4 linked regions of the Tamandua tetradactyla genome follow. The protein of the gene in region 4 purifies or fractionates together with the protein of the main gene of each other region. This does not show direct contact. Links are inferred from orthologs where the notes say so. Each region holds a gene or a part of one and is shown on either strand. Other genes may lie near its edges.

The links.
Region 1: the proteins of FKBP5 (region 4) and CDK9 purify together in Homo sapiens (affinity purification with mass spectrometry; 10 studies listed by BioGRID and IntAct, counting the BioPlex papers as one, with this or other methods). This does not show direct contact. The link is inferred for Tamandua tetradactyla from reciprocal best matches to the Homo sapiens genes FKBP5 and CDK9.
Region 2: the proteins of FKBP5 (region 4) and PHLPP1 purify together in Homo sapiens (affinity purification with mass spectrometry; 4 studies listed by BioGRID and IntAct, with this or other methods). This does not show direct contact. The link is inferred for Tamandua tetradactyla from reciprocal best matches to the Homo sapiens genes FKBP5 and PHLPP1.
Region 3: the proteins of FKBP5 (region 4) and PRKAA1 purify together in Homo sapiens (affinity purification with mass spectrometry; 3 studies listed by BioGRID and IntAct, with this or other methods). This does not show direct contact. The link is inferred for Tamandua tetradactyla from reciprocal best matches to the Homo sapiens genes FKBP5 and PRKAA1.

Annotation. Positions count from the first base shown.
Region 1 is NC_135328.1:50,628,012-50,635,431, reverse strand, and holds the start of CDK9 (cyclin-dependent kinase 9), read right to left. Parts: upstream 3,013-7,420; 5' UTR 2,897-3,012; coding exon 2,805-2,896; intron 2,346-2,804; coding exon 2,264-2,345; intron 1,551-2,263; coding exon 1,460-1,550; intron 1,091-1,459; coding exon 924-1,090; intron 800-923; coding exon 628-799; intron 504-627; coding exon 355-503; intron 1-354. UniProt on the Homo sapiens protein: Protein kinase involved in the regulation of transcription.
Region 2 is NC_135344.1:19,506,885-19,514,340, forward strand, and holds the start of PHLPP1 (PH domain leucine-rich repeat-containing protein phosphatase 1), read right to left. Parts: upstream 3,017-7,456; 5' UTR 2,798-3,016; coding exon 1,213-2,797; intron 1-1,212. UniProt on the Homo sapiens protein: Protein phosphatase involved in regulation of Akt and PKC signaling.
Region 3 is NC_135335.1:90,938,999-90,946,880, reverse strand, and holds the start of PRKAA1 (5'-AMP-activated protein kinase catalytic subunit alpha-1), read left to right. Parts: upstream 1-4,875; 5' UTR 4,876-4,907; coding exon 4,908-5,034; intron 5,035-7,882. UniProt on the Homo sapiens protein: Catalytic subunit of AMP-activated protein kinase (AMPK), an energy sensor protein kinase that plays a key role in regulating cellular energy metabolism.
Region 4 is NC_135331.1:92,296,911-92,304,304, forward strand, and holds the start of FKBP5 (peptidyl-prolyl cis-trans isomerase FKBP5), read right to left. Parts: upstream 3,019-7,394; 5' UTR 2,829-3,018; intron 2,402-2,828; exon of another isoform or gene 2,318-2,401; intron 1-2,317. UniProt on the Homo sapiens protein: Immunophilin protein with PPIase and co-chaperone activities. Component of unligated steroid receptors heterocomplexes through interaction with heat-shock protein 90 (HSP90).

The sequences.
Region 1 (7,420 bases), on a different chromosome or scaffold from region 4:
AAAGCATCAGTGGCAACAGTGTATTAAGCACACACCAAGTGCCAAGCCCTTTATACCCAACGTTGAATGTGCGTATCAACCCTGATACAAGCGTGACTTCTGTTCCAGAGAAGAGAAAATCAACTCTGAGATGACAGTTCAAATGCCTTACCCAAAGCCACAGAACTACATGGTGAGAGAACCAAGACTTGCACACAGGCTGTGGGGCACTAAAGAGGAGGCCCTTTCTCTGCTGGGCAACTCTCCTGGGAGGAGCTTTCTGATATTCCGTTCCCCCACTCCTCCCCAGCCAGGGAGACTTCTGGGTCTCTGCATCCTGTGGGGATCAGGGGCCCGGGCAACTTGCGCACACACCTCAGGGGTGATGGAGCCACAGAGTTGGCTGATCAGGGCGAGCTGGTGCTGCTCCGTGTTGCCCTGCATGATAGGGCTGCGGGTCCACATCTCCGCCATGATGCACCCAGCACCCCAGAGGTCAATGGGGGGGCCGTAGTCTCGCTCTCCTGGGAAGAAGAGCGCACCAGGAGGGCCCCTTGAGCCCAAGGGCTTCCTGAGATGCAATGCCTTGGGGCTAATGGCTCAGGAAGCCCTGGCAGTGTGGGGCTGGGGCCATGTAGGGGTCCTCACCGAGCAATAGCTCTGGGGGCCGGTACCAGAGTGTCACCACACGATTCGTATAGCGGTTGGGCTGGCTGTTCTTGGCCAGACTAAAGGCCCGAGCCAGTCCAAAGTCTGCTAGCTTCAGGACTCCATCACGGGTGATGAGCACATTAGCTGCCTTCATGTCCCTGTGCAGGATCTGTGGGAAGGGATGGAGTGAGGGCTCAGCCAGGTTCCTTGGAGTCCTTTGACCACACCCATCCAGCAGTGGGCACAAAGGCCAACCCAAGTCTTAGTAACTCCTCCCCCACTTTGGTGCCCACCTTGTTTCTGTGGATGTAGTAGAGACCATTGAGTAGCATCTGCATGACCTTCTTGATCTCAGACAGTGTGAACTTGACTAAGACGTTACTCAACAGCCCAGCAAGGTCATGCTCACAGAAGTCAAACACCAAGTATATACTGCCTTTGCAACGGTTATAGGGGGAAGCTGGAACAGCAAAAATGAAGGGGGGGGGGGGGCAGGGAGAAGAAAAGAATAAAAAATCCCACATTCAACCCACTTTCCCATGGTCAGCTCCTACCCCTCTTCAACTTATGGACCACCCATGCCCTCAAGCATCCGTTTGCTTGTTCCTTCACTATTTTCTGAGTGCCTCCTCTGGGCTGGGTGCTGTGGCAAGCCCTGGGAAAGCATCAGCTACAATGAGAGAGGACCAGAGAAAGCAGTCATCACTACTACGTCTGGGTTAAACAGAGGCCATTTGGTATGTCCAGTTCCAGCTATGTAAACAAAGTTCATGCTATAAACCTCATTTGTTACCATCTGAAAATAGGGAATAAGATCCAAACAACTTACCTTTGGTTCGACAAATCTCAATCAAGTTGACGACATTCTCATGTTTTAGAAGCTGGAGGATCTTGATTTCCCTTAAAGCTGTGATAGGAAACTGGTGGGGAGAAGGGGAGGACAATAAGGGGTCAAAAGTGGGTGAGGGGGTGCAGACCAAGGAACTGCCTCTAGAATCTGTTCTAAGGAACAGAGGCTGGGAAAGAAGTAAGAACATGGGCTCTGAAATCAACTGCCTCAGACCCCCTATGGATAAAATAAGTATAACAGTAGTATGTACACTGATTCCAGACAATTAACTGAAACAGATATTTAGCACACTTTACCAAGTCACTAAATGCTCCTTAATTCCTTTCTGCCTTCCAACTTTAGCTCTATGCTTGTGTTTAACTTGCTTTGTGGTAGCAAAAACAACAAAAATAACTATTAAAAAATTCCATGGCTACAAAATTAATCTCTGGGGAACTAGACTAAGAGGGAGTGATACAGGGCGTTAATCCTCTTCAATATGTTCTCTTGAGTAGAATTCAACTTTTCAAAGCCACGTGGATGTTTTTTACATTAACCAAAACTACACACTAAAGAGAAAAGTGTTAAAAGCTCCCCTTCCCGACCCCAACCGTGTTAACAAATAAAATGTCAAACGCTTCAAAACATTCTAATTAAAATACCTAGTTTGAAGGCCAAGTTCTCTGGAATGTGGCAATTCCCAAATTACTAGATGCCAACTGAATTTCAACATGAGACTCCTAGGAAAAGTGGGTCCCCATGTCCAGTGGAGCTGGTAGGCCTGCCCACCCAACCTGTACTCACCCCCTCCTTCTCGTTCTCCATCAGCACCTTCTTCAGGGCCACCTTATCGCCAGTCTTGCGATGCCGGGCCTTAAACACTTCCCTGCAGGCCGAGAGGGGGACCCAAGAGAGCTCATCAGGCCGCTTCCGCTGGGTCCGCCCCTCCCCCACTAGAGGAAGAGGGGCAGGATAAGAGATACTCCCGGGCAGGGCGGAGTATACGGGGCAGTTGGCCACCCCACTACCTAGTATCTATGGTCCTTCTCCGATCTTCTCCGCTTCCTTCCCTCAATTCCTCCTCCTCACTCAGGCATCTATCTGGGAGAAGTCCCTCTTCCCCCAGGGGCTTCTCTCTGCAACCCTTTCCCGTACCCCACCAGAAGCCTCAGGCTCCTCCCCGCCAGAAGGCTCCGTCAGGTCCGGGTGGGATGCAGTGCGGCCTTGGGAGATAAGGGGACAAGCCCGGGGCTCGGCGGCTTCCCAACCACTTCGGGCCCGACCCCGGGCCCCCGGCGTCGGCCCTGAAGCATGCAGCCCCCGGTCTCCCCGGGCCGAGTCTTACCCAAAGGTGCCTTGACCGATCTTGGCGAGCTTCTCATATTTGGACACTTCATCACAAAACGGGCACTCCACCGAATCGTAGTGCTTTGCCATGGCCGCCTCCAGCGCACCGCCACCGCCTCCAGTAGACGCCGCCACTCCCGTCCCAGGTCCCGCTGCCGTGCTCCAGGCCCCTCCGCGGCCGCGCCACTTCCGCCTCCACGGCCACTTCCGGCCTCGCGGCGCCGACCCCGCCTCTTCCGCCCGCCGCCCGCCGCCAGGCCCCCTGGGACTTGTAGTTCCCGGGAGACGAGGGGGAGCCGGAGCTGCAGCGGCGCCTCCGCCGCCGCCACTGCCCCCGCCTCCGCCGCCGCCAGTGCCGGCGGCAGCTCCGATCGGGGGTGCGGGGAGCCGGGGCGCCGAGGCTGGGGCTCGGGGCGGTGCGTCCCGCTGCATCGGCTCGGACCGCCGCTGCTGTCGAAGCTGCTGCCTCTCTGGCGCCCGATCCGGGGCCAGCCGCAGTGCCCTGCTCCTCCTCCTCCGCCGGCGCCGCCTCCGCCAGGCTGCGCGGGGCGGCGGGCGGGGGAGCGGCCCCCGAGCCGCGGCCTGGGGGCTTCCTGGCCAGGCTCCGGCCCAGGACAGCCGGGCGAGGGGTCGAGTCGGGAAGAGCCGACGAGGAGGCGGCCGGAGAGCCCGGGAAGGGGCGCGTTATAAAGGGGGAGGTGCCCGGGCCTCGCCCTCCCCTCCCCCTCCTCCCGCCTCCTCCCTCCTCCCTCCCACCTTCCGCGGCCGCACCTGCCGCTGCTGCCGCTGTCGCCTCCCGCTGTCCGCCGGCCGCCCTCGGCGCGTCACCGCCCGCGGCCCCGCCCCCGTCTTTGGAGGTGGGCCCCCCGCGCCCGACACCTGGCTGTGGGGCGCCCCTCCGCCTGACTCAGTTTACCCCCGCCCCTTACTAGCTGCTTCGGGGAACCCTTTCCTCCACAGCTCGGGGTGCCCCCCTAGAGGCGAAGGCGAGACGCGTCAAAGGAGCGGCCTCCGGCCCTGGGAGGAGAGACCAGCCCACTCCGCGGCCTCCCCAGGCCTCCTCCACCCGCCGTTGACATGGCAACCGATGGCCGCTAGGGGGCGCGGTGACACTGGAGGCGGTGAGCGAGCAACAGCCGGGCCTTCGGCCCTGGATCCCTGTTCTCTGGGCGGCAAGAATGAGACCCCAAGGAACTACCACTCCGCCCTGCTGCGTCAGAGCCAGTTGGGCAAAGGACAGTAATCACAAAGATAGCTAACATTACTGAGCACACCTGTGTGCTGGAGAAGTGCTGGGGACTCCGCCGAATCCTGACAACAACCCCTAGTTAGTCAGTATTACAAACCCGGTTTTCAGTGGCCATTTAGGCTCTAAGAGAAGAGATTATTTGCCAATGGTCATACAAAGCTGGGACTCGAACCTGGGCTTTCTGAAACTGAAGAAGTTTCTTGCAGCTCGCAGTATTTACAGTCTGCCAGGCACCAAGCCGGCTATTCACTTACCATCTCCCTCATGGGCCCTGTGCCCTCTCCCCCTTTCCCATCCTACCCATGCCTTCTTCAGCACCTCCCTCATATCTCTCTGGTTCCATGAGCCTCTGGATTCCTCCTCCAGATCTACCCAACGACCAGCCCCCAGCAAAGCTGTCTTTTCTAACTCCTTGCACCTCTTCAATCTGCCCTCTGGGCTCCGGCCCTCTATAAGGGATCGGGAGTCCTGGCCACCCCAGACTCCTCATCTGTCCCCCTCACAGCACCTGCCAGATTATTCTAAAGCAGAGTCTGTATATATTTCCCACCTTCCTCAAGCCCTCCAACTGTCTCAAGAAAATCCTGACTGTGACATTTAAAGCTCTTTCCAGTTTACAATCCCAGGCTGTGTCCTTATGGGTTTCTCTACTAATTCCCCAAGCTTCCTGGCTTCAGGGCTGTGCTCCCCTGACCTCTCTCCCCCAAAAGTAACCTTTCTGCCTACAGGAGGCCTGCAGGGCGGCTTCATAGGTTTTACCCCTCACTGCCTGGCCTTGAGGCCTTCTCATGAGAAAAGGCAGGAACGGGTTTGGTGATCGTGGTGTCCCAAGAGGCCTGTTCTGCGCAGATCCCTGCCAGGGAGAGCCTTGAGAGTCAGGCTGAGGAGCCGGGTGTCCTCTCCTGAGGGTAACGTGGAGCTGGTGAGAATTTTTGATAAGAAGTGAGCTGGGGTCAGCTTCTTGGGCACACTGTTAGAAGCAGGGAGACCCTTGGCCAAATCAGGTGCAAGAGGGCAGAGAGGAAGATAATAGTTATAGTAATTACCATTTATTGAGGAAAAATAAATGTGCTAAGCCCTATACTTAAGGGAATTATCTCAATTCTCCCTGAATCTTATGAGGTACCTACTATTATCCAGCCTGGTGTACACATAAGGACACTGAGACTCAGAGGTGATGTCACCTGGCCAGGGTCAAATAGCTGGCCAGTGGCCTAGCTGGCATTTGAGCCAGGTTGGCATAAAGCCAAGCTCTTGCCCATGTCATGGTCTGCCCTTCTGGGCTGGGGGCAGAACTAGGGATGTGGACTGGATGCTGGATGGGAGGTGTGTGAGGACATAGTAGCAATACTATGAGGTCTGTCATGGGTCTATGTGGCCTCCACCATCAGGCCCTCAGGCTGGGACCTGCTGTCTCTTTCACACGAGCAATCCCATAAGTCACATCCTGTGGGCAGAAGCCTCAGCAGAGGTTCCGGTGGTGTTGTCACCTCTACTCCACCATCTGTGACCTGAACTTTCACATCTGCCAGTCACTTCCCTCAGGCTGTGGGCCCTGCCTGGAGAAGGAAGGCAGGCAGGGCATTGGGAGCCCTTCAGAAGGCTGCCCGGGCTTGGGGCCAGACATCACCAGAGCTGCCAAAACCCAAGTGAAGGTGAGAAGAAATTAGCAAGAAACAATTTCTAGACTTTGATTTCAATTTTGCTGGTCTGAGGAAAGTGTTTCCTGTATCCCAGGTATTCACTAAGCAGGCAAAGTGGGGCACGTGACTGGTAGTCAGTAAATGTCTGCTGAGTGACTGTCTGATCAGGCCCTGGGAACTCTGGTCCTGCTACCCATTTTATAGTTAGGGAAACTGACACATTAAGCAGGAAGAGAGTCACTGCTCAGCTGTTTGACCCTAGCCTGAACCCTTTTCCCACCCCTGAGCAGGGATGGGTAATGGGCATGTGGAGGGGAAGGAGAAGACAGATTCTTTGGGTAGGTTGCTCTTTGCATCTGGCACATCCAGAAAGACAAAGGATCTCTGGGGAGGGGGATAGAGGAGAGAAAACATCTGTGTGATGCCCACGGTCTTGTCAAACCATGGAAGTTTTGCCCTTACTGGCTGGGAACTAACTCTGCCTGGCCCTGTATTGACAGGCATCACCCTCCTGAAACTTTATAGCACCCCTCTTAGGAGGTATGATAATCAAGGCCAGGTTATATAAGAAGAAACAGGCTCAGAGATGTGAAATGACCTGCCCAAGGACACACAGCTAGGAAGCAATTGAGCTGGAATCCAAAGCCAGATGTCTTTTCTCTCAAAGCCTAGAGTGATTAACCATCATCCTACATTGCCCCCATTACCAGTCAATGGGGTCAACCCAGGGAAAAGCATCTATTGAGCACCTACAGTTTAGCAGGCATGGGGCCAATAAGTATGGGTAAGACCCATTCCTCTCTCAGGGAGCTTAAGGTCTGTTTGGAACATGCAAATAAAGACACACGTGGATGTAATAAGGATGATGATCTTGGTATAAATGTTTTATTTCACGGTCATACGAGAAACATCATATTTGCTCCATTTTAATGATGGGAAAAAGTGGCTCAGAACGGTGACATAACTTGCCCAAGGTCACCAAGGTGGGGACTGAACTTAGGTTTGCCTCAGTCCAGTACCTTTGATTATAACATTTAAGGCCTCCAATCCCTAATTGTCCCTGGCCAAGCTACAGGCTATTGGGTCATAGACTGGGGAAGAGGTGGCAGGAGTGAGGGACAGGAACCAGAGCAGGTTCTTGGGGGCACTGTAGCTAAAGATGGCCTTAGAGGTACTGGAAGGAGGCAAAAGATTGAACCAGTGGCAACAAGAGCAGCATTCGGGTGGGGCTTCCAGCCTAAGCAAAAGCCTGCAGGCGGGAAAGCTGCAGAGTGTGGGCTGGGCCGGGCTGGCCTCCAGCACAGGCTGAGAAGAGCCTGTGGGACAACCACCCGCCAGCAGGTCCCCAGCCGTGCTCCCAACGGCCACTCAAGGCAGTACAAAGAGGGGTCTGAGCTCGGCAGAGCTGCCACACTGAGCCCCATTCATCCTCCTAGAGATGTCGGCCACTGCCCTGGTGCCTGGGCCAACGGCAGGCCCAGACCCAGCACTGACAAGGCGCCTCTGCCACAGCAACGAGCCCCAGCCAGCCCCACAGCCTCCCAGTGGCCAGGACTCCTGGGTCTCACACCATGCATCTGCTGCCAGGGTTTTCCTGGCCTATGCCAGCCAGTCCCTTGTCGGAATTCTCGCATCCCTCAGCAACAACAGCCAGTCCTTGCCAAGGCCTGTGGCATGCTGGCCTTGAATGCTCCTAAGAACCCCAGGAGATGGGCCCTATAG
Region 2 (7,456 bases), on a different chromosome or scaffold from region 4:
ACTGAACAATTTCAGAAAACCTCAATTAAACTTAGATGAACTTCCCAACAGGAATGCTACTGGTATATCATTCAAACTGACTAAACTGCCACAAGGACACAAGGTGGACCACAAAACATTACATTTGAAAATATGGCCACATAGTAATAGTTACAAATATGATTATTTTCCCACCATCACCGACACTCTAGAATAATAAAGCAGGGAAGATTTAACTCTCTCCTGTTTTAATTTTGCCATGATTTTAACTCTATTTTAAATAAAAACCCTTTTCACTAAGAGCATAATTCTTCAATCCAGAGGAGGGATAGGATGCAAACAACATATAAAGTTCAAATACAACAATCAGGACCTAGAACTCCCCTAATGTAGCATCATCCAAGTATTTAGCAAAAAGAGAAACATTTCATTAGTCATCCTTGGTCAAGAATTTGATCTGGGATTGCAAAAAGAATGGGGAAGATTTTAGATCATATCTGAAGAGATCATGAACCATTTAATTTCTTATTGTGATCTGTGTTGCAAGTCATAGCGCAATGTCCACTTCTCTTTATAAATGGCGGAAGAAATAAATTAGGGAAGAAAACAGGTAACATTATTTTGATGCAAGAATCAACCTTACAGAGGAAACGGAAAGAAAACCAAAAATTGACAAGTATCACCAAAAAGGATCGTATTTGTGACTCTGAACAAATAAGCACAACAGCGAGCTGAACAGGTGCATCAGGTGACAAGGACGGAGCTGCTGCTGCTGGTATATATACTTAGAGCTAGAATAGTAAACTGTGAACAAAAGCGTGCAGAGGTGCTTTAGAGCATTTTGTTGAACATTTTCTCTGTCCATATTATGTGCACTTGATGTTTATCTGTAATGCCAAACTACCTCAGACCCAGTATGCCTATGACCAGAGGCCTGAAGGAAGCACTTATTAAAAGTACTATTGCCTGCTTCCTGTACTTCCTGGAGATTCTGCCACCCCCTCCACATTACTTTCCAACCTCTGACCCTCAAGACTGACTAAAATTCACGGGTTAAAAAACTGCTCAACTTGGCATTGCGCAGATGGCACGCGCAAGTTTTGAAGGAGTAACAAAGCATCACGAGGACCTGCATTTATTCTTGGGTTGGGCAAGTATATGTCAATTTTCAATCATTTCTTGGTACATGAAATGTGCACACCCCACACGTCAAAGTGCAGGTGAGCGCCTTACCTGCATAGAAGCGGATAAGGCAGCCAATCTCCGAGTCCATGCCTTCCTCCTGTACCCTCCACAGCTCCCCAAACCCCAGCTGGAAGAGGTAGTCATTTTGGATCTGCAATGGCTTCTCGTCCGCCTCCAGGCGCCGGGTGGTCTCTCCATGGAGCTGCACGTACAGGGTGGGTGGTGGAGCCTCCTTCTCCGCGGCCGCCGCGTTCTCCCCGGGGGTCGACGAGGTACTGCGGATGGATGCGGCCGCCGCCGCCCTTTCCTCCCGCGGCCCATCGCGGGCTGCACCACCCGGACAGTCGACGCCCTTCGGAGCTTTGGGCCGCGACGCAGGCGGTGAGGCCGCGGGAGACAGCTGCAGGACGCGGGGGTCGCCGCACAGCTCTGGGGAGTGGCTGGAGAGGTGGGACTGGTCCGAAGACCCCGTCGGGGCTGGGGTTGGGTCTGCCTCGAGCTCCGACGACGACGACGAGGAGCCACCGCCGCTGCCGTAGGGGTCCAGCCGGTCCGACACGCTCTCGGCGCTGGGACTCAAGCTGAAGCTCTCGGTGTCGGAGGCCGGGCCCGCGGCCGCGCCGTCCGGAAGCCGGGGGGCGCTGGGAGGGGGAGCAGGGCCCCCCGCGAGCCGGTCGCCGGGGCTGGAGTCGGAGGGCGCCGGGCCAGCGCGGACAGTGCAGCCCATCCACCCGCCCGGGCCTCCGGGCAGCGGCAGGTCCGCGGGAGGCGAGCGCGGCCGGCCCCCGACGGCACCCAGCCAGCTGCTCCCAGGCGGCGGCGCCCAGTCCCGCGGCTCGGTCCGCAGCGGCAGGGGCCCAGCGTCCGGGCCAGGGGTGGCGGCAGTGCTGGGCCCCCTGCCCAGCACCTTGACCAAGCCGCCTCCACCCTTGTGGCCCAGCTGGAGCAGGCGGGCGGCCACCTCCCCGGCCGTGGTGTCCAGCGTGCAGAGCACCGGGCGCAGGTAGGTGGAAGCCATGTGGCGCTCGAAGACGTGCACGCAGCCGCGCTGGAGCTGCTGCCTCACCCAGTCCCGGTCCGACGGCTGCAGCTGCATCATCTGCCGGTGCTTCAGGAGCAGCGTCTTCCTGTCCAGGCTCCGGGTGCACAGCGATGCCGAGGCCGAGCAGGAGGCGGCGAGGCCGGCGGCGCCGGGGGAGTGCGCGGCGGCAGCGGCCGAGGACAGATTCCTCTTCAGCCGCCCTCTCCTCAGCAGCAGGGAGTTGGCGCCGCCGCCGGCTCCGGGCACAGGGGCAGCCCCGCCGGCGGGGTTCTGGGGTGCCCCGCGTCTCCTCCTGCGACTCGTGCCTCCAGCTCTGCCGGGCAGCGACCCCGGCGGCGCCTCAGCGGGGGCCTCTGTCCGCGCCCCGCTGCCGCCGTTCCCGCCGCTCCGCGCCGCCGGGGTCAGCATGGGCTCCGGGCTCCGGCCGCCCCCAGCCGCCGCCGCCAGAGCTGCCGCCGCCGCCGCCGCTGCCGCCGCCGCCGCCGCCGCCGCTGCCGCCGCCGCTGCTGCCGTTGCCGCCGCCGCCGGAGCTCTGTCCTCCCTGCCGGGTTCGGGGAGTCGCTGCGCCGTGGCCGCGGCGGCGGGCTCCATTGCAGTGGGGCGCTGCGTTTCCCCCCAGCTCCGGAGGCAGCGGGCGGGGAGGGAGGAGGTGAGGCGAAGGTGGGCGGCGGCGGCGGCGCGGGGAGAGGGGAGAAGCCAATGGCGTTCGGAGCGGCCGTTCCAGGGAATTATGTGGCAATTCGGAGCATTCCGTCGGTGTCTCGGTGTTCCATCCCGCGCGCCCGCGCGCCCGCTCGCCCTCCTCGCCGCCACCGCCCCGCCCCCCCACGCGTGCCCTCCCCGCGGGGGCCGCGGGCTCTCGAGCCCGGCCCCGCCCCCGCCCCACCCGGGCGAATCAGCGCGCGCCGAGGCTCATTGAATATTAATCACGCGCGGGGAGAGGGAAGGCGCGAGACAGACGGGGAGGGCGCTCCGCGACGGCCTCCTGAATATGCATTGCGGGCATTACGGCATTCCCCCGCCGAGTGGGGAGAGCCTGAGGGGGGTGGGGGGCGGGGCTTCAGGGTAAACAAAAGTGACGCGAGCGCGGGGCGGGGGCAGTGTTCCCCGAGGTCCCCGAGCGGGCGGGAGGCCAGAGGCGCGCGGTCCATCTCGGGAGTAGTAGTTCCTCGGCTCTGGCGGGCGTGCGCGACGGTAGCCTGCCGCACTACAAGCCCCAGCGAGCCTTAGGTCCCGCCGCTCCGGGCCGCCGGCCGCTGCCTGTGGACTGTGCGTATCGTGCCCTCTTGTGTTGAGCTCCGGACGGGTGCAACGCTTGTCTTGGCGGTGCATAAACTGTACTTTATCGGGCGCTCGTCATATGACTTCTCTTTTCCCTGCTAATTGAAAGTGAGGGTTTTGAGGGACGCTAAGCTTGGTCCCTGGTCCTCACCTCCAGGCATTGTATGAGTAGATACCAATACAGACCCTCGCGCCACAGGATAACTGGCCATCTACGGCGACAACCTCGCGCTGTTCTCACTCTTACAAACCCCCTTTCCTAATTTGGACAGTTGTTAATGTGCTTGGGGGGAATCGCGCGACCGTGAGCCCATCTTTTCCCTCTCCTGTATCTGAGTGTTTTCCCTTTGGTCTTGAAATTTGAAGTAGCTTAATAGCACGGAAAGCAGCGAAAAGGAGAAGAGAAGTTGGAGGAGAGATACGGTGAGATGTAATATGGGCTGTTTCGTGCTTTCTCTATTATATTTTCCCTGGGTTTTTTTATTTCAGCATTGAGAAAAAATATATTTTCTCTACAATGTAGCAGTAGCTGCATTTTCTAGTCAGTTAAAACAATATTGTGATGCGCCCCTACTTTGGAAGGTTCAGAAGTTCTACATGTTTTCAACCGTGTCCTCAAATATTTCAGTGTGTCCAGAAAATATTAGTCTTTCCGTTCTGTCACATCTTGAAGTTGGCCGCTAGTCAGCAGGTGGTTTTCCAGATAGTGGCACCACTATACATTCCAAGGTGGTGTGTGACCCAGTTTGGTGAAATACAAATGCGCGGAATATCCTGACAAAGCTGCCAAGCATTTAGAGAGAAACGTGTCTCATTATCAGTCACAGATGGACAGACAGGCTCAGGTACATGTGACATCAATTGGACGCAGATCCTAAAGGGGTCTAGTGAAAATAAAGATTCAAAGAATGAAAAAACCTTTCAACACTTAAAATTTTGCCATGGTCTAAAATGCAAGCCTGGCATTTCTGCCCTTAGTGCCCTCAAGATTCCTCCCTTTAAGTGTCCTCACATTTCCTACCTGGCATAAATAGCTCCAATTGTCAGCAGTTATTTAGATGAAATCCTTATCTGCAGGCTTTTTTAGAAACTATTAATGTGTGTTCCCAGGATTTAAATATATATATATGTATGTATATTTAAGGTGAACTAGGGCAGGTTACTATTTAAAAGAATTTAGCAAACCAAACCTTTTTAATTGAATTGCCGTTCCCCCAGATTGTTTTATAAGTGTGGATTTTCACATGAAACTTCTGATAAATTTTCAACTAAGGTCTATCCAGGGTCGGCCTTAACTTTCAAAACTTTAAACTTTGGGATGAGGAGGGAGAGAGAGAGAGAGAGAGAGAGAGAGAGAGAGAGAGAGAACAACTGAAGCTTATTGAAATAATAGAAACTGATAAGAGCAAGGTAAGTTGTGCTTAACTCATCCACATGGTTTCATTAAAGAAAAATGGACGAAGTTACCATAACTAAAAATAAATATTTCTCTTAATGATTCTTAAAATTCCTGAAAATGACTTCCTATATATATATTTTATACATGGGCAGGCACCAGGAATTGAACCCACGTCCTCTGGCATTCCAGGTAAGCGTTCTTGCCTGCTGAGCCACCATGGCCCACCCACTATATATATATTTTTAAAGTCATCCCTTGGACTCATGAACCTCATTTTTATTCCATTTAAATCCAGTTAACAGCACTGAGTTGTTTTTAAAAATTAGGAAGAACACAAATTCTCCCAACAGAGAAAAAATATTCAGGTCAATTAATTTAGCAATTATACACATATATTGGGTACCAGTCACTATATTACACCCATTGAATAAATCAGGCATTTTCCCTTTCCTCATATTGTTTACAGGTTAGAAAGAAAGACCTTCCATTATTGAGATGGTTGTGGGGAAGGGAAAATACAAGGTTCCATAGAAATGCAAATAAAAGAGGGGAACTCACCTAGTCTAGGGAGTCAGAAAATGGAGACCTAATTTTGGAGGAAGTTTTCTGGAATGAATAAAAGTTGAGTACTTGTTGAAGGATCAGTCTTTGAACGAAGGAAAAGAGGTAAAGAGAAAGAAGGAGAGTGAAGATAAATTTCAACTACACTAATCTATACTTTGTCTTACATATCCCCAAGACAATTTTTCCTAGAAATTGAGATTAGTATTTCAATTTAGCCATCCACTAATAAAATTTTCAAACAAAGCTCATGTTAAATTTCCATACTAAAACAAACTCTTTACATCTTCTGTTTATATTTATTTCCTTAGTTGATTTCTTACAAACCTCTTTAATTTTTCCTATATTAAGAAATGTCATTAACTAATAGTATCTACTTTCTAGGTTATATTTCTATAGCTAATTAACAAGCTCTATAAAAGTTTCTTCTAATAATAAATTCTGCCATCCTTGGCCCAATGTCCATTAGCATCTGCTCTAAGAAATTGTAGTATTTTACTTATTTTAGCTCTGGTTCTTTTCATTTAGCTTTACACAGTCACCACAACTCTGCCTTTTTATACTCTAGGAATTTCGTTTACCCTTTGAAAGCATTTCTAATCATAGCACCTCCTTCCAAGGGGGTGGAGGCGGAAAAAATGAAAGTAAAAAACATTTCTCAAAGAACTCAACTCAAAATATTGGAGAGGGAGGCGTTGGGAGAGTCATACACTCCTAGACAATAGAAACTTAGTATGAGGGATTACTAAATTGGGGTTAAAGGAAATATATCTCAGTATGAAGAAAAAGGAAATGCATTCCCCCTTAGGAAAAAAAAAAAGTGGGGGGGTGGGAACGTGAAGGAATGGAGAGTACGATTTTACTCAATTTCATGCTGAGTCTGTGACCTGAAAGATTCCATTGAACCCAGGATAATAAACATCCGAGTGGAGTGGAGAGCAGAAGGGCAAGGGTTCATGGGATGATTCCTCTCTCATGTCACCCCCAATCCTTCGATAAAGTTGCAATAAAGTTATGAACGTTGGGATGAAAGGAGATTCCGAAAGGGAAGACAGTCCCCTTAACACCAGATTAGCTGGAACCTTGTAAAAATAACAGAAATGATAATGATAATGAAACGTGTACTTAGAGGGTGCTCGTATCATCAAACATTAACTGGACCAAATATGCCAACTCACACTACACAATTTTTCTGAGTAGGAGAAAGACTTCATTAAAGGGCAAATATCTTGGAATAGCAGCTTCTCCTATTAAATACAGTAGAAAATATGCCAGCGTTCTGAAACCATGTACGTCACGAATGCCTCCTGTAAAGTGTTCCAAATGTATAATCTAATACCACATTTCTGACTAGCTGAACTTTCCCAAACATCACATTTTAAAATGCTTCAAGATAATCCTGAAGAGAAACATCAGATAAAAGTTGCAAACTCCGATGCCAACTTGTTAAAATATTTTCACAGTTATGTTTAGAAAAAGAAAACATAATTTTCAATTTGCTGCCACTGTTTACTTTACGCTGTGTGATTTATAAATGACTTGCTGTATTCTGCATCTAGGCTAGTCCCAGTGTGCATCTTTAGATCTAAAATAAAAGTAAACCATCTTTGGATTTATTTTCTTCTAATATAAGCAGTTGGAATTTTAATGGGAACATGAATTGATAGCTGGACGGTTTTAGTCAGTTGTAAAGGGCTCCGCAGTGTCCAGAAATAAACTCAGAAACGTGTACCATACAATGTAATACTTTTAGTTAGTATATTATGAACAAGAGATCTAATTATAATTTCATATTTTTATATCCCTTGAGCTACTAGTGTCCCATGCCTAAATTGCTCACTCTTTACTCATCCTTTCTTACCATGAGGGGCCCATTTATTCAATTACTGCTCTAGTGCAGATGGGCCTCAGGTGGCCCAACTGAATTAATATGTCCACTGCTGACCTGCAGGATGAAGACTGCAGGTCTTCTGGTCTCTCCAAAATCTTATCCCTTGCTCATAAAATTT
Region 3 (7,882 bases), on a different chromosome or scaffold from region 4:
TAATTCTACAAGCTAGGGAGCTCTGATTCAAACACATAGGCCTACTTCATTTGCTACTTGTTCAGTGATGACACCCAATCTTTCTCTCTTGACTAACCTTTCTTTGGAGTTACAGATCTGTATTACTAGTATCATACTAGATATTTTTACCCGAATGTCCTTTAGATGCTTCAGTTTTACAAATAGAATTCTTTATTCTCTGGAACGTCTGTTCCTCACTCTTCCCCAAATCCTGTCTATTCTCTTCCTACATTCCTTGTTTCCATCAATGCCACCATCATCTATTCAGGTTCCCAGGCAAGAACCTGGGAGATAATTCAGATTCTTTCTTTCCCCTCTTTATCCATACCAATCTGTGTTTTACTAATTCCACCTTCTAAATAGGCCTTGAGTCTGTTTCTCCTCTTCATGCGTGGTGCCTGCCTCATCATTTCTTAGCTAGATGATGCTGAGTCTACTGTTTTACCCCCACTTTGGTCTTGCTCTTCTCCCATCTATCCTCCACACTAAAGTCAGAGTTTTGGTTATTTTTTCCTAACAGTTAATTTTTTGACTGTGTAATATGTGCATACATTCCAAAATAAAAAAGTTACAAAAGGGTATATTGGGAAAAGTGCATCTGTCTTTTGCCCCTGACTCTTGGTCACTTCCCAGAGGCACCTATAGCTACAAATTTCCTGGGTGAAAAAATGTATTTCTAAAATGCATGTGCTTTACATCTTCCCATGGTTCACCACTGTTTACAAAATAATGTGCAAACTGATAAGAGCATAACAGGACTTTCAAGACTCAAGATTTACATACTATTTTCTCTAAGAAATCCATCTACACCTTCTTTTGTAACCACTTGAATTTCTCCAAATAGTCTTAAGCTCCTTAGTTCTGGGAAATTGCATATGCTTTTCTCCCTACTTGGGATGCCTTCTCCAATTTCCCCAATCTCCACGCCAACTTTTTCTTTGAGTAGAAAACTTCATCTCTTAATATTCACTCATAAGATATTCAAGCTAAAGACTTTGAAGACCTCTAAAGTTAAAGGTTTAGCCCTCTCTTCATTATGATCTTTCAGGATTATGTTTTAGTTTGCCATGCTTAAAATGGCAAATACCACACAATGAGTTGGCTTAAACAATGGGAATTTATTGCCTCACATTTTTGAGGCTAGGAAAAGTCCACAATGTAGATATGAGCAAAGCTTCCTTTTTCTCCAAGGATTGTATAGGTTCTGGGGCTGACTGCCAGCAACCTTAGGGTTCCTTGGCTTCCCTATAACATTATGATGTCCTCTTCTTTATCTTCCAGGTTTCTCCTGACTTTCAGTTTCTCATTAAGGCTTCCAGCAATCTGATCAAAGGCCTGCCCTCATTCAATTGGGCCACACACTCAAAGAAAAGCAACATCTTTAACAAGACCTATTTACCATGGATTCATACCTACAGAGATGTGGATTAAGATTAAGAACATGTTTTCTTTGGGGTATAAAACTCAGTCTATCCCATCCACCCTCTGGACCCCCAAAACACATATTCTTCCCACATGAAGAATACCTTCATTGCATCAAGATACCTCAAAAATCTTAAGCCATTTCAGTAATAATTCTAAGTTTAAAGTCTCGTCAAAATTAGACATGGATGGGGGTGAGAGGGTAGTTCAGCTGTGGAATTCTTGCCTGCCATGCGGGAGACCAGGGTTCGATTCCCAGCCCACATACTTTCCAAACAAGCAAAACAAACAAACAGAAAAGCCAAACAAAAACAAACAAACAAAAATTCAACAAATGGTGCTGCAATAAAGGGATACTCACATGGAAAAAGAATGACATGTAACCCCCGCCACACTAGCATACAAAGAAAAAAAAAATTAGACATGGATGTGAACTGTCCTGGGGCAAAATTCCTCTCTGTGAAATCTAGCAAACAAGTTATCTGTTTCCAAAACACGATGAGAGCAGAGGCATGGAATAGTCCAATTCTAGAAGGGAGATATTGGAAGGAAAGGAAAGGCCAGAGGTCCCAGGCAAGTCCAAAATCCATCAGGGTGAATTATGGCGAATTTCAAGCTTTGAGGGTTATCTGTGGATAGATGTGGGTGTACTGAAATGGCAGCCCACTCTTTCCAAGTGATTGTGCAGTGGCCATCTGCACTAGGTCTCTGTGCTGAGACCTAGTTTCTCCCCAATCAAATATCTGCCCCCAAACTGGGGTTGTAGACCGCACTCGCTTTAAGTATTGGGGTACAGCTGAACTCTCCCCATGTGCTGGGGTGTAAAACTCAACACTTCCAAGCACATGGGCAGAAGGCCTGCCACCTCCAAGCATAAGGACAGACCCATCCATTAGGCCTACACCTCTACTTCCATGACTCTACCACTGAAGTCATTCTTTTTTCAGTTTGTCCATACTCTGTTTCTTTTAGTCCACTGGAATGTTCACCTGGATAGTGTAGGGTCTAGCAAGCTATGATGACCTTAAGAAGAAAAGACTAAGACTAGACATACCAGCCTTAAGCTCTGGAGGGCTAGAGAGGAAGCAGATGACAACCAATTACTCAGCTCTTCCTCAAAGGAAGTTCTACACCAAGGTATTGGATCAGCTGGGTATGTTTTTATCAATGCTAAGACACAATGTGTCTTCTTTGAACTAATAAAAGTTGAAATACTGAAGTTTGCAAACAATTTATCCCCACCCTCACTTCAGTTAAGGTACAATGGATTCAAGGTTACCTCCATAATTTTCCTCCTGCTCAGTTACATTCCAATATACTTTGTCGAGAAAAGGGGCAGATTTACAACTGATGGGTCAGGAAACCGGGTATAAACCACAGTCTACCTTATCTATTCTTCCACCCTAGAAGAATGTCCGGCAAGTGAACATTATCTATCTTGGGTGGGGGGAAAATAGGGAGAACTGCTATCTTAGACCATGAGCTCCTCCAGGGCAGAGACCATGACTTTTCATTTTGTTTCTTTCTCCTGTGTCTGGCAGTTATCAAACTTCAAGAAAAGAGGGGATGAATATTTGGGAACAGATCAATAGGAGGTTGGAAAGGAGGAAGGCTGGAAATAGTTGGACATTTTTGGGGGGTACAGGGAATCCTGCTCAGGTAAGGCAGATGTGTGGGTTGTTTTACCACACACGAAAGAATGAAGGAAATAGAAAAAGCAAAGGAATAAGGAAAGGAGGCTTATTATTTACCTTCTTGGGAACTGGTAGATGTTTATTGGAATCAGGTTTTTAACTCAACATAAGAAAACAAACAAACAAATCAGCAACTAAAGCCGCTTAACCAGGCATTACAGGAGAGTGGAGAAGATAACCTTTAAGTTCCTGCCCAATCCTATTTTCCATGATTCTAGGTTTTGTTTCCCCCTTTCACTGAATAGTGGCATTTAATGAATATTATTAAATAGATTTGCAACCTGAAATAACATCAGAGCAGAAACAAACTGATAGTTAACAGAATCCAGAGAGCAATTTGAAGAGATCCCAAATACCTGAGTTGTAGAAACTCAAAAGGCAAACAGGGTAAGCCAAAGAAGCTAGAGAACGAAAGTTACAACAGTAACCCCTGCCCACTCCCCAAATATCTCAATAATCAACAATTTCTGAACTTTTGGGCCTTCAGTATATGTGCAGTCCATAGTACAACAGAGACTTGGTTATCTGAGCAAGTCTACTTGGAACTGTTCTCTATTTTGTGTACTTCTAAGCTCAAGGTAGGAATGATTGCTTCCTCTGCAAGTATTCTGCTTTGTACAAAGCAGTGTTTAATGCACATTCCTTTGCTTTCATAAATAGAAAAATATATGTAAACCAGGAGAGCTGGGTAGCTGATTTTTGTTGCAAAGAAAAATGATATTTTGTCTTTTTATTTAAATACTATTTTCATGAATAGCACAACTTTTTGCCTACTGATAACAGGCCTAGGTGCTATGACACTGCAAATATGAGAGCACTTAACTGTTTTTTTGATGAGATACTTGATTTTGCTCCGTTAGAGTAGCATCGAGTAAGAAACTCACTTAAATTTCGATACAAATAGACATACTCTCCTTCTTTTCCCTATGAAATGGCATGATTTCATTCGTATAGACAACAGACGGTCTCGTTTATTGCAAGTGTAACAAACATTTGTCGATTGATCTGGCCGATGTAACTGTAAGCCTTGTTTTCAGGCCAATGAAATTTACATTTTGCTGATAATTTAAAAATGTGAATTCTCATATTCCAAAAGGGCTGGGTAACAACCCTTCCCCCACTACTTACATACATCCTCAACCTGCTCCCAGCAGCAGAGCTTACTTCGACAAAGTCTACTTGAGTTGCCCAACAACAACTTCCGCAAATAAAAGTACAAAAGAGCAGTGGGGAGAAACCACAAGACGGTGCAAGTGAAAACTCCCTACGGCTTCCATAACGCATCCCAGAGGAAAAGATAAAAATAAAGTTTAGAAATACAGTGGCAAAGTCGTGTTCAATCCAAGCTACAGTAGTAATAAACCACGCATCTGCATCATTCAAGCGAGATTCCCGGTGCACAGCTCCGCTTTTGGAATCACACTGGGAGCAGTCCCCCGGGAGCCTGGAGTGACCACAGCAGGAAGAGACTCCACCCGGGGGGAAAGGAGCGGAGGGGCCACCGCCTTTCTCTCGCGCGCAGCCCCCTCCCGCGAGCAGATGGGCAGGCGCCCGGGGCCATAACGATGCTGGGCGAGGTAAGGGGTACTGACGGTGACCCCGTCCAGCGACCTCCGTTCGTCCCGCCAGGGGGCGCGTCTGTACACAACAGCCACTGCGTGGACCAAGCGGGTGGTGGTTTGTTCAGGTCTGCGGCTCCCCTCGCGCCTCCCCGCCCACCCCCGGCGCGGCACGGCCCTGCCCGCCCCCTCCGCCCCCTCCCGTAGCGCCATGCGCAGACTCAGTTCCTGGAGAAAGATGGCGGCAGCCGAGAAGCAGAAACACGACGGACGGGTGAAGATCGGCCACTACATCCTGGGGGACACGCTAGGCGTCGGCACCTTCGGCAAAGTGAAGGGTGAGGACCCCCGGGGCAAGTTTTGGCCCCTGCTCGGGATCCCGCCGACTTCCGCTGTTCCCACCTCCTCTTCTTTCCCGGTCCCCCTGCGCTCCTCGTCTCCCTCGCTGGACAGCCCCTGTCCAGGCTCCGGCCAGAGCGGGGCCCGAGACTGCCGCGGGACTGCGACGCGGCCCCCCAAGGCCGGGGTGGGGTGGGGACCGAGCTCCATGGCGATGGCGCCGCGGCCAGAGGGGGCTCGTCGGTGCCAGGGGTCGGGTTGCGGAGGTGCGAACTTTCCCAGGTGTGGAGTCGGGGAGTTGCGAGGCGCGCTCCCAGTGCTGGGGGTGAGGGGTGGGGACGGCGCCGGGGTGCCTCGCCAGGAGCCCCACGGAGGTGGCCTCCTGTTCGTCCCGCGCTGTGCTCCTCTGGATCACGGCCAGCCCATCGCTTCCCCGGCAGTCCTGGGCATTGTCCCTGTTTCCGTCTTCTTCAGGCTGTGGACTTATCTGCTTCTGCAGATTGCCGACTGTGAAATGTGTTCCCCGAAGAGTGAGGTTGCTTTTGGGAGGTAGCCTACAGAATTACAAAAACAAAACAAAAAACCATCCATCTCGTCGAGGAGGATCCTTGATTTCCTTTGGAGCAGTTAATGAAGTTCTATATTTGCAGTGTATGGTTTACGTTCTGAGTGCGGACACCGCGCATCAGTGTTTCTGAATTATCAGGATTTTCTCATTCTGTGTGCTGAACCTGCTTGTTGGTGCAGATGTTTCCTCCAGACAGTAGTTATTGGTTCGTTTGTATAGTTCATTTCCATTTATTTTCACAGAATGTTACTTCTATTTTAATAAACAATTTAATGTACATCATTGAACTTTTTTTAAGTGGTAGTTTCTTAGCGCTTTTGTTTCAACACAGTATTATGGAAATAACGAACGTGCTCTCCAGTTCACTAATTCTGGCACAAATATAATTGCAAAATGTATGGGGCATTAATGCTTTTTTTCTTCAAAATTGTGACTTTGGTTATTAGAGATGTAGATCAAATAAGTATGAAACTTATAAAAAGAATTTATGAGAAAGAGAAAAAAAATTTATGCATTGGTTTTGGATAGACTATGACTTGCATATATTTACTAAGCACCTGGCAAATATTTGACTTGAAAGAAAAAAGTGGTTGAATGTCTGTACAGTGAATTAAGTAACAGTCTTACTCTCCTGGAGCTAAATAAACATTTTCTGATTTTATCTAGAGTTGGAAGAGGAAAACCCTTCCTTCTCTTGCCCTTTCTCAGTTATAGAACCAGAAATTTGCTGTGAAGTGTACAGGGAAGCAGCTGCCTACAACTGCTTGTGAAAATCAGCAGGGCCAACAATGTAAGGAAGTAAGAAGCAAATGCCAGAATAGAGTAATAACATTCATTAGAGTGGGTCTCTATTAGACTAGTAATGTTTCTGAGGCCTCAAAGTTATTATTTTGGCCCCATCTCCTTAATTTTAGCAATTACTGACTGCTCTTTAGTTTACTAGTACTTGTAAGAAATTCTCATTAATGTCCCACAAAGATGCCGGAACCCGGAGTTCTGTTTGGATTAGGGTGTTCTTCATTCCCCTAATTTAGACCTGAATTTGATCAGGTCTCATTTTCTTATTTGCTAAGTGGCTTTTGGCATGGCAGGTAGGAAGGCAAGAAGAGATTTTTCATTTTCTGAATTTGATCTGTGATGTGGTTGTGACATGGATTCTTTTATTCTGCTGTCCCTTAGCCTTTACTTCTCCTTCTCCCTCTTGAAGTACATACTCTATCAAGTCAATAACTTCACCAAATATAGATAGACCAATATTGGTCATAAGATCAGAGGTTTGTGAATAAAGGTATGTTTGTTCATAATACGTTAGTTGATGTTCAAAATCCTCAACCAGTGCATTTTTATGTTGTTAAATAGTTAGGATGTTTTTTGTCATGAGTAAGAGAAAATGCACCTCAGAGTAGCCAAGAATATCTTTTCAGAGCAACAAAGTCTATTATTTCTTGAGTGAGTCTCACTGGCTTATCCAGTCCCTTTAGCTAGGGATACCAAGTGCTGACTGGCTTAGGCTTGTGTTCCTAAGTAGGAATTAGCAAGGGGAATGGCATTACTCTTGTAGGAATAGGGTTCACTCTGGGATGTGTGTGTGAGGACATCTTCTGAAGTACTTGGATAATGTGTGTATGGGGCGGGGTGGAGAGGCAGATACCATATATATTGCTAGGATAGAGAAAGGGGAACATGGGTGCTGGGTGAGTGGGCAAAAGTAGTGATCATAGTGGTGACATTAGTAATTTATACCAGCCTTAGTTTGACAAGAATTCTTCTGAATGATAGGTTTAGTAATTTATTTCAATTGAGACACTTTGGAATAGATAGAGCTTTTAAAATTTTCTTTTAAACTTTCTTTGGTGTGAAATATATATACAGAAAAGCAGTAAATTTCAAAGTACATTTTAACCAGTAGTTATGGAAGAGATTTCCAAGTTTGATATGGGTTACAGTTCCACAATTTCAGATTTTTCCTTCTAGTTACTCCAAGACACTGGAGGCTAAAAGAAATACCAATATAATGTAGCAGTCATATAATGTAGCAGTCATACTCATTGAATTGTCTTTTGTGTTATAATGCCTCTGTCTTCTTTGATATAGATAGAGCTTTTAGAGTTAATTATAAACATTGATAAATTTAACATTAAAAAGAAATCTAATAGATATGTTATTGAAAAGCAAAAAAATTCTCAATATGATCTGTGTTTACAGGAAGTATTTTTGGGAGAAGAAATCTATAGATTTTTTTTTTTTCTGTTATAGGCAGAAACAAAGCAAAACAAAAT
Region 4 (7,394 bases):
CCACTCAAATTCAAAAGGAGACATATAAGGATAACTGACTTAAAAACAAATGCTTATTGTGTAGATGTGAGAATGCAATTTACGTTAATTTTGAAACTGAAATGTGGTTGATAATTTTATGATATGGTCTACCACAACTTAAAGTGAACAAAAATCAGTAATTAAAAGACATAAAACCTGGATTTTAAAATGGGTTTTTAATTAAAAGGTCCTTTTATACTTAAATTATCTAAATTATGGTTTTGTTTAAATAAATCTATGAAATATAATTTTAATTTATATATGATACATTTAGGCATTCATCACATGATAAGGACCTCAACTTCTAATTACCCACAGTAGTATTTAAAGTAATATAGTCATATACACTTTAAAGAACAATTATATAACCACTCAAAACAATTAAGAACCTCAGTCTCATTAAGATTCCTTACAATTATCTATATATATATTTTTAAAAAAATACTACATTAGGAGGAGTAATTGTTCAGTCAATCTACCCTCGCTATGCACCAAAAAACCAACACAGCTTTTAATAGCAATAGCTTCTATGGCCATGGAAAGAATGTTCTTTCTTCTCTGGACTAATTCATTCTAAGCTCAGACGTTTAGGAAACTAAAAAAAAAAACAAAAAGTACTCTCTTCTAATCCAGGAATAAATAGAAAATTGAAGATTTAATTCGTTGTCTAATGCAATATTTTAAGTTTTTATGTTGAACTGATTAAAATCATTTTTAAAAAAGAAATCCACCCCAAATTCCCATAACTAAAACAACTAAAGATTCAGAAACATCAAAAGTTGGAAGACAAAGATCTCACAACATTTAAGCCTGCTGTTGTAGAGAAACAAAACATTTCAAATATCTCCTTTATTTTTTGAAAATCTCAAATAGTCAAAAATTATCTGCTGGTTAAAGAGGTCACCTTTCATTCATGATGTTATTGGTCAGTTAGGTAAATAAGAACAATTCTCACATAATTACAAGTAAAGTAGCATAATTAATCTAAATCAAAATTAATAACTTTGCTCTTAAGAAGTTAAATTTAACATCTCTGAGATATAAATCATTCCCAGGACACATGTCAAAGAAGACACATTAGAAGAAAAAACCGACTAAACTAAATCAAGTGTTTCTCACAAATGATGAGGATTAATAACGCACATTAAAAAAATGTATTTCTATAGATGTCCTAAACTGATCAGGGCCATAATTGTAGACTAAGTAGAGGTTAGGTGGAAGAATGATAAAAAGAAAACAAGTGAAAGCATGACAGAATAAAAATTTCCCATCAAAGAATATTTTGAAATCTATCCTTGAGTTTTGATTCACACAGGAAGAAATTCAGTTACTAGAATTCTCTAAAGTAAAAATCCGAGATGGGGGGCAGGGGCTGCTCACAGAATTCCCATAGACTACTACAAACACTTAACCAACATACGCCTTCACTTTTTCCTTGTCCACAATCTAATAAAATGGGAAGACAATAAAAATAAATACTCCTATAAGAGCTGCCCTCACAGAGGCCAAGGAAGCGCCCATTCAATGTTAGGCCTTGTTCCGCTGGAAAACATACTCCTAAAAACTAAATCCAAATCCCCGAGCTCAAACGTCTTCATACAGAATTTACGAATGGCGGCCACCGGGAGGACACGCTGTCCCGAATCACCCTGAGGGATATCTAGAGTTCTTCATTCTCCGCTTACAGCTCCGACCTTAACTATGCTTTCGGCACATCTGCAGATTTTTAAAGAGATTAAAACGTCAATCTAAAAAAGGCAATCTACATTCTGACCCTCATGAGTCTTTTTTTTCAGTACTGGTTTTTAATCATATACTTTCGCGGGGACACCTATAAATGATCAATAAAGGAAGAAGGCGTTAGTCCCGGGTGTGAATAGGATCGGGAATCCTAAAACAACTTTTAATGCGCTTTCGTCTCATCCCAGACTACTACAAATCGCTCGTTGCCACAGCGCTGCGCTGGCACTTTCAACAAGTGGCGGTGGAGGAGGGATGCTGTCTCCAGTCCCTTCTCCCAGGGCGCAGCTGAAGAGGGGTGAGCGCCCATCCAAAGCCCCCGGGTGGGCTACCCCGGGGCCGCCGCGCCGGGAGAGCGGAAACCGAAAGCGAGAAGGGCAGCGGCCAGGACGCTCCGTTATCCTCACCCTCCACGGGGCCAACAAGGTGAGGAAGTCTCAACAGTGCCCGCCGCGCGTCCGTCCCAGAGCATTGCTCAACCCCGGGCTCGAATGTTCCCGCCGCCCCCGGCTGCGAAGGCGAAGTTTCTCTCCCGCCCGCCGCGGCGGCTACTTACGCTCCGCCCGGCTCTCGGAGGATCCCGCCGCCTCCTCCGAGCGGCTGCTGCGGCGCTCCGCAGTCAACCGCCCGCCCGGCTTCGGGCGAGTCGGGGCGGGGGTGGTCGCCCGCCGAAGTCGGGACCTGATACCCCGGGCGGGAAACAAAAGCCGGGTGAGGACAAGCAGGCGCAACCTGCCTCGCCTCCGCGAGGGGGAGCGCGGCGGGCGCCCAACCAGCGCGCCTCCCGGAGGGAACACCGGCCCCGCGGTCTGCGGGGAAGCAGGGGCTGCGGCCCGGGCGGGGCGGCGAGGGGCACGCGGAGCCGCCCAGGGACCCGCAATGGGGCTGGAGGAGCCCCGGGAGCGCTCACCTCCAAGCTTCCCCGACCCCGCTCCGCCCGACTAGCCGCTCCAGGGAAGGGGAGCCGCGCGAGGGGGGCGGGGAGGCGGCGGAACCGAGAAGCAGGGAATTCGGCTCCCGGGGCGCCGCGGCCGCCCGCCCCATCCCTGCAGCCATGGCGCCGGTACCTGTCGCCGCGGTTGCCTGTCGTCTCCGTCTCCCTCCGCCGTACCCGCGAGCAGAGCGCCCTCAGCCCGCCCAGCAGGCCGCCGGCACACCGAACGCCGCCACTAGAGACTGGCAGCGCTCGCCAGCCGGCCTGAAAACCCAGGGCAGCGCCCGACGCCGTCCCGCTCCCGCCGGCCGCAGGACCCGCCTCCCATAGGGCCCCGGGGCTGTCAGCCCGCCCCCAAAAGGCGCGCGGGCTGTAGCCCCGCGTGACGGGATTGGTGGCAGCGCGCTGTCCGCGCAGATAAGGCCACACCCCTTCATTTGCATCACCGCCTGAATGTAACCTCCGCCTCCCCCACCCCAGCCCACGTGTCTGGCTCTTGTCCTTTGTGGGGACCTGAGAGAAGGGAGGGAGGAAGCTTCCCGACACCTCCTCACGCTCTCCTTTACTCCAAAGAAACTGATACCTAAACAAGCTACTTGACTTCATATCTCTTTGACAGCTCCGTCGCCGTTGTCTGGCCACCGGTCGTGCCCTGAGGATGGAGAGGGGCAGACCAAGCTGTCCGTGTCTGGAGCCAGCCAGGTCTGCCCCAGGAAATGAACTAAGAAGGTGAAGATGCCTGGACTGGGGAAATCCCACCTTGAGAACCAATTGAGCACACAGTACCTCTCTCTGGACACCCAGTGACTGTGGACACCATACTTTCCCTTGACTTCCAACCTTCCAAACGTGAGATCGCAGACCATTAAGAAGGATTGAGACAGGAAGAGGCCTTAACAATGGCCGTTTTCTCCCCACAAAGCATAAATCTGCTGCACAAACTCAACTTCAACATCAGCCCACCCCCATCCAATTAGATGGTTACCTGACTGGCTCCCATTGAGATCTATCAGCTGCACCTGGGTCTTAGGAAATGCCCAACTCAACCGTCTCGTTTTTTGAGGAAAAAGAAACCCGAAGTGCCAAAACTAGTTACCTATGAGACCTAATAATTACTTCTGGAATCTAAAAGTCCCATAGTCAGATTAGAATCCACATCTCCTGGCCCCCACATCAGCCCTCTAGCCACCATATCATGATGGGCATCACGTATTTATGAAAGTCACCGCACTGGTTGAGATTGTAGTTGTTCCTGCCTTCAAGAGGTGGACCCTTCAAAAATGGCAATTCCAGCACCGACAGACAGGATCCTGTCTTAGTCACTTAGCTATCCTCAGTAGTTAGCAGCTTCCCATCTTACCAGCTACTAAGTACCAGCTTCTCCCAACTACCAGGAGACAATCAGGACAATTTGTTCATGCCTTAATTCAGCAAGACAATGTTTATTAAAACTGCTCTACATACTAACACCAACTTACTAGGCATCTTATGTGCATAATAACAGTAAGTATTAAGCACTGTGTATGTGCAGAGCAAACGGAAGTGAGAAGACATTAGCCCTGCCCTTGGGGGCTTCAGCCTAGGGCACAATGACATCCACATAACATGTCAGTGCTCTTCATGTCACAGGGGCTTTGTGAAGGACCCCAAAGTGGGAGGAGACAGGGTTCCCTGGGGGAAACAGGGAAGTCTTTACTGAGGACTGGAGCTGAGTCTTGAAAGGTGGAGTAGGTGTTTGCCAGACAGACGAGTGTGAGAGAGGAAGTAAAGGGACTTCCAAGCAAGACCTGGAAAAGCCTAGTAGTGGAGGGAACAGTGAGGAGCCATGTGGACCAATCTCCAGGGCTGTGTGGCTGAGTCACATGCCCTGGGACCAGGCTCTTCCAGGAGGAAGACAGAAAGGCCCGGGAGGCTGCCAGGCTGTGTTGTAACACACCGCAGCAAACAACAGCAGGCCCTGTAGATACAGCTGCAGCCTTTTTTTTTCTCTTTTTTTTCTCGGCCAGAGTCTGTGGGGAACAGTCAGTTCCACAGTTCTGATGGCAGCTTGGCTGGCCCCACCTACTCCCTCAGAAAACCACTCCCGTGGCTGTACTTACCCTCATCTTCGGCATTTGGAAGCACATGTGCTTGCATTTCCCTTAAAAATTGCTGCCCTTCAGTTTTAATTCAACTATGACATGGTCTATGGCTGCAGAAACCTGAATGAGGGATGGGTAGCCCTTTCCCAACACACGGAGCCGTTCTTTGCGGAGCTGTCACCAGGGCTGGCAAGCTTCATAGGTGTGTGACCTAGACAGTTGCCTGGGAATACACACTTAGCAGGGCTCTGTGCTTGGTTTAATGCTCTACCGTTGCCATCGCGAAACTCTTAATCATCTTTTCAACAAGAAGCCCCACATTTTCATTTTGCACTGGACCCTGCAAATTATGTAGCTGTTCCCAACAGTGCCCCTGTCACTGTTAGTGCCCCCAAGCATATGTATAGCCAGCCTGCTACTACTCAAACCACATCTCATTTTTAAAGCTCTAGGCATTCGCTAGGTTTGCTCACGTGCTATATGTCATTTGATTCTCACAAGGGCAATGTAGGGTAGGCCAGTATTACTAGTCCAATTTACTAGTTGAGAAAGTTAAAGTTTGGCCACCTTCTCCAGGTGGCACAGCCGCAAAGTGAGAGAGCTTGTATTTAAACTCAGCACACCCAACCCCTATTTCTTCTCCTGTACAGCTACATCCATGTTGGTTTCAGAATCTTCCCAAGGCAGCTTGGTATATGGAGGTGTACCTTTCTAAGAGCCAGCTCACCTTAAGGAATGGGCAGTTGTTATTTCATGGTTGCCTGCCAGCTTTGGAGCAGCTTTTCACCAGCTTTAAAAAAATTCTCAGCTGCTGCCTGTGCAAATATTGTTTCTGTCTCTTTTCTTCTATCCTTCTGGAGAAGGATATTACACCTTCCCATGACAGCCCTTTCTTTTGTATTTTCTGTCTTTTTTTCTTCCCTGCTTTGTTCTGTGAAGTGTCTTCACAATTTTTCAGCACATTTGCTCTCTCTTCAGCTTTTTAAAAACAAATCTACTCTTAAACCCATCCACTGAGCTCTTAAACTTGGTTATGCTGTTTTTTAGTTCTAGAATTTCAGTTTAATTTGTTTTCAAATCTGCTATGTCACTTCTCAGACCTTTTAGTTCCCTGCTACAATTTTCAAACTTGGCTTTTCTCTCCTTACACATAGTAAGTTAGTTGTTTTACATTCTGTGTCTGATAATACCAATCTGGACTCCTTACAGATCTGTTTCTGTTACCACTTTTTACTGCTGGCTCTTCCTACATGTCTCTTCATGTACCTGGTTATTTCTTTGAACATTGTATTTGAAAAATCATTTGAGGTAATGATGTTAAAATCTTCCTCTGGAAAGAATTTCCATTTGCTTCTGCCAGGCATCTGGGGTACTAGCAATCTAGGATCACCTTAACCCAATTTCAAGGCTTCTGATTTTCTAAGCCTCCCAGATCACTCAAACTGGGCTATAATTTGTGGGAAGGTTTGTTTTTTTAGAGTTCATCCTTACCCAGTGGTACAGCCCTTTGGAGACACAGTCTAAAATCTTGGGAGTTGTTTTAGTTATATATTGCTGCATGGCAAACTATCCCAAAATGTGAGGGCTTAAAACAGATGTCAACAGACTTCTCCTAAAGGGCCAGATATTTTAGACTTACAGACCATTTGATTTCTGTCACAACTACACAACTTCTGTCGTAATAGCATAAAGCAGCTATAAACAAAACATAAGCAAATGGCATGGCTGTGTTCTAATAAAGCTTTATTTCCTAAAACAGGCAGCCTAAATCTTCATCTTGATAAAGGACATCTATGAAAAATCTGCAGTCACATCACACTTGATGGAGAAAGACTGGATATTTTCTCCGTGAGATCAGGAACAAGACAAGGATTCCATTCTCATCACTTCTATTCAACGCTGTACTGGAAGTTCTAGCCAGGGCAATTAGGCAAGAAAAACAAATAAGAGGCATCCAGATCGGAGAGGGAGAACTAAAACTCTTTGCAGATGACATGATCTTGTATATAGGAAAATCCTAAGGAATCCATTAAAAAACTATTAGAGGTGGCGGCCTCCTGGGCTATGTAGCCAAGGCAGCACTTTCAGTGCCTTAGGGAAAGGACAGGATTCTAGAATGTCACTACGGAAGGGACATTGAGTGCTTTCTCATACGAATTCCAAACTGCGACCCACCCGGCTCTGCCTGTTGCTGGGTGTGGGAACGCAGATGCTCAACACCCTAAAGAGATGTTTTAAGATAAAGGAGGCTTTAACTGTCAGCAATGTACGGCGGTAATACAGAACCTAGATTCGCGCTCTGCAGGACGGTGGGAGATGAGTAAAACATGCTTGAGGATGTGGACAAATAACTGACATTAAAATTTTCAAAAGTGGTCACAGTGGCGTAGCAGGCAGAGTTCTTGCCATGCCGGAGACCCGGGTTCATTTCCCACCAGTTCCTGCCTATGCGAAAAAAAAATTTTTTTTTTCAAAAGAATAGGGAGGTTTGATTTCAACACTCTAGTAAAATTCTGAATACTTCCAAGACTCTTTGCTAACTAGAAATAGCAAGTAATGTTTTGAAGATACCTCTGTATGAAAAGACAAAATTGTTACATCAAACAGGATTGTCGCTT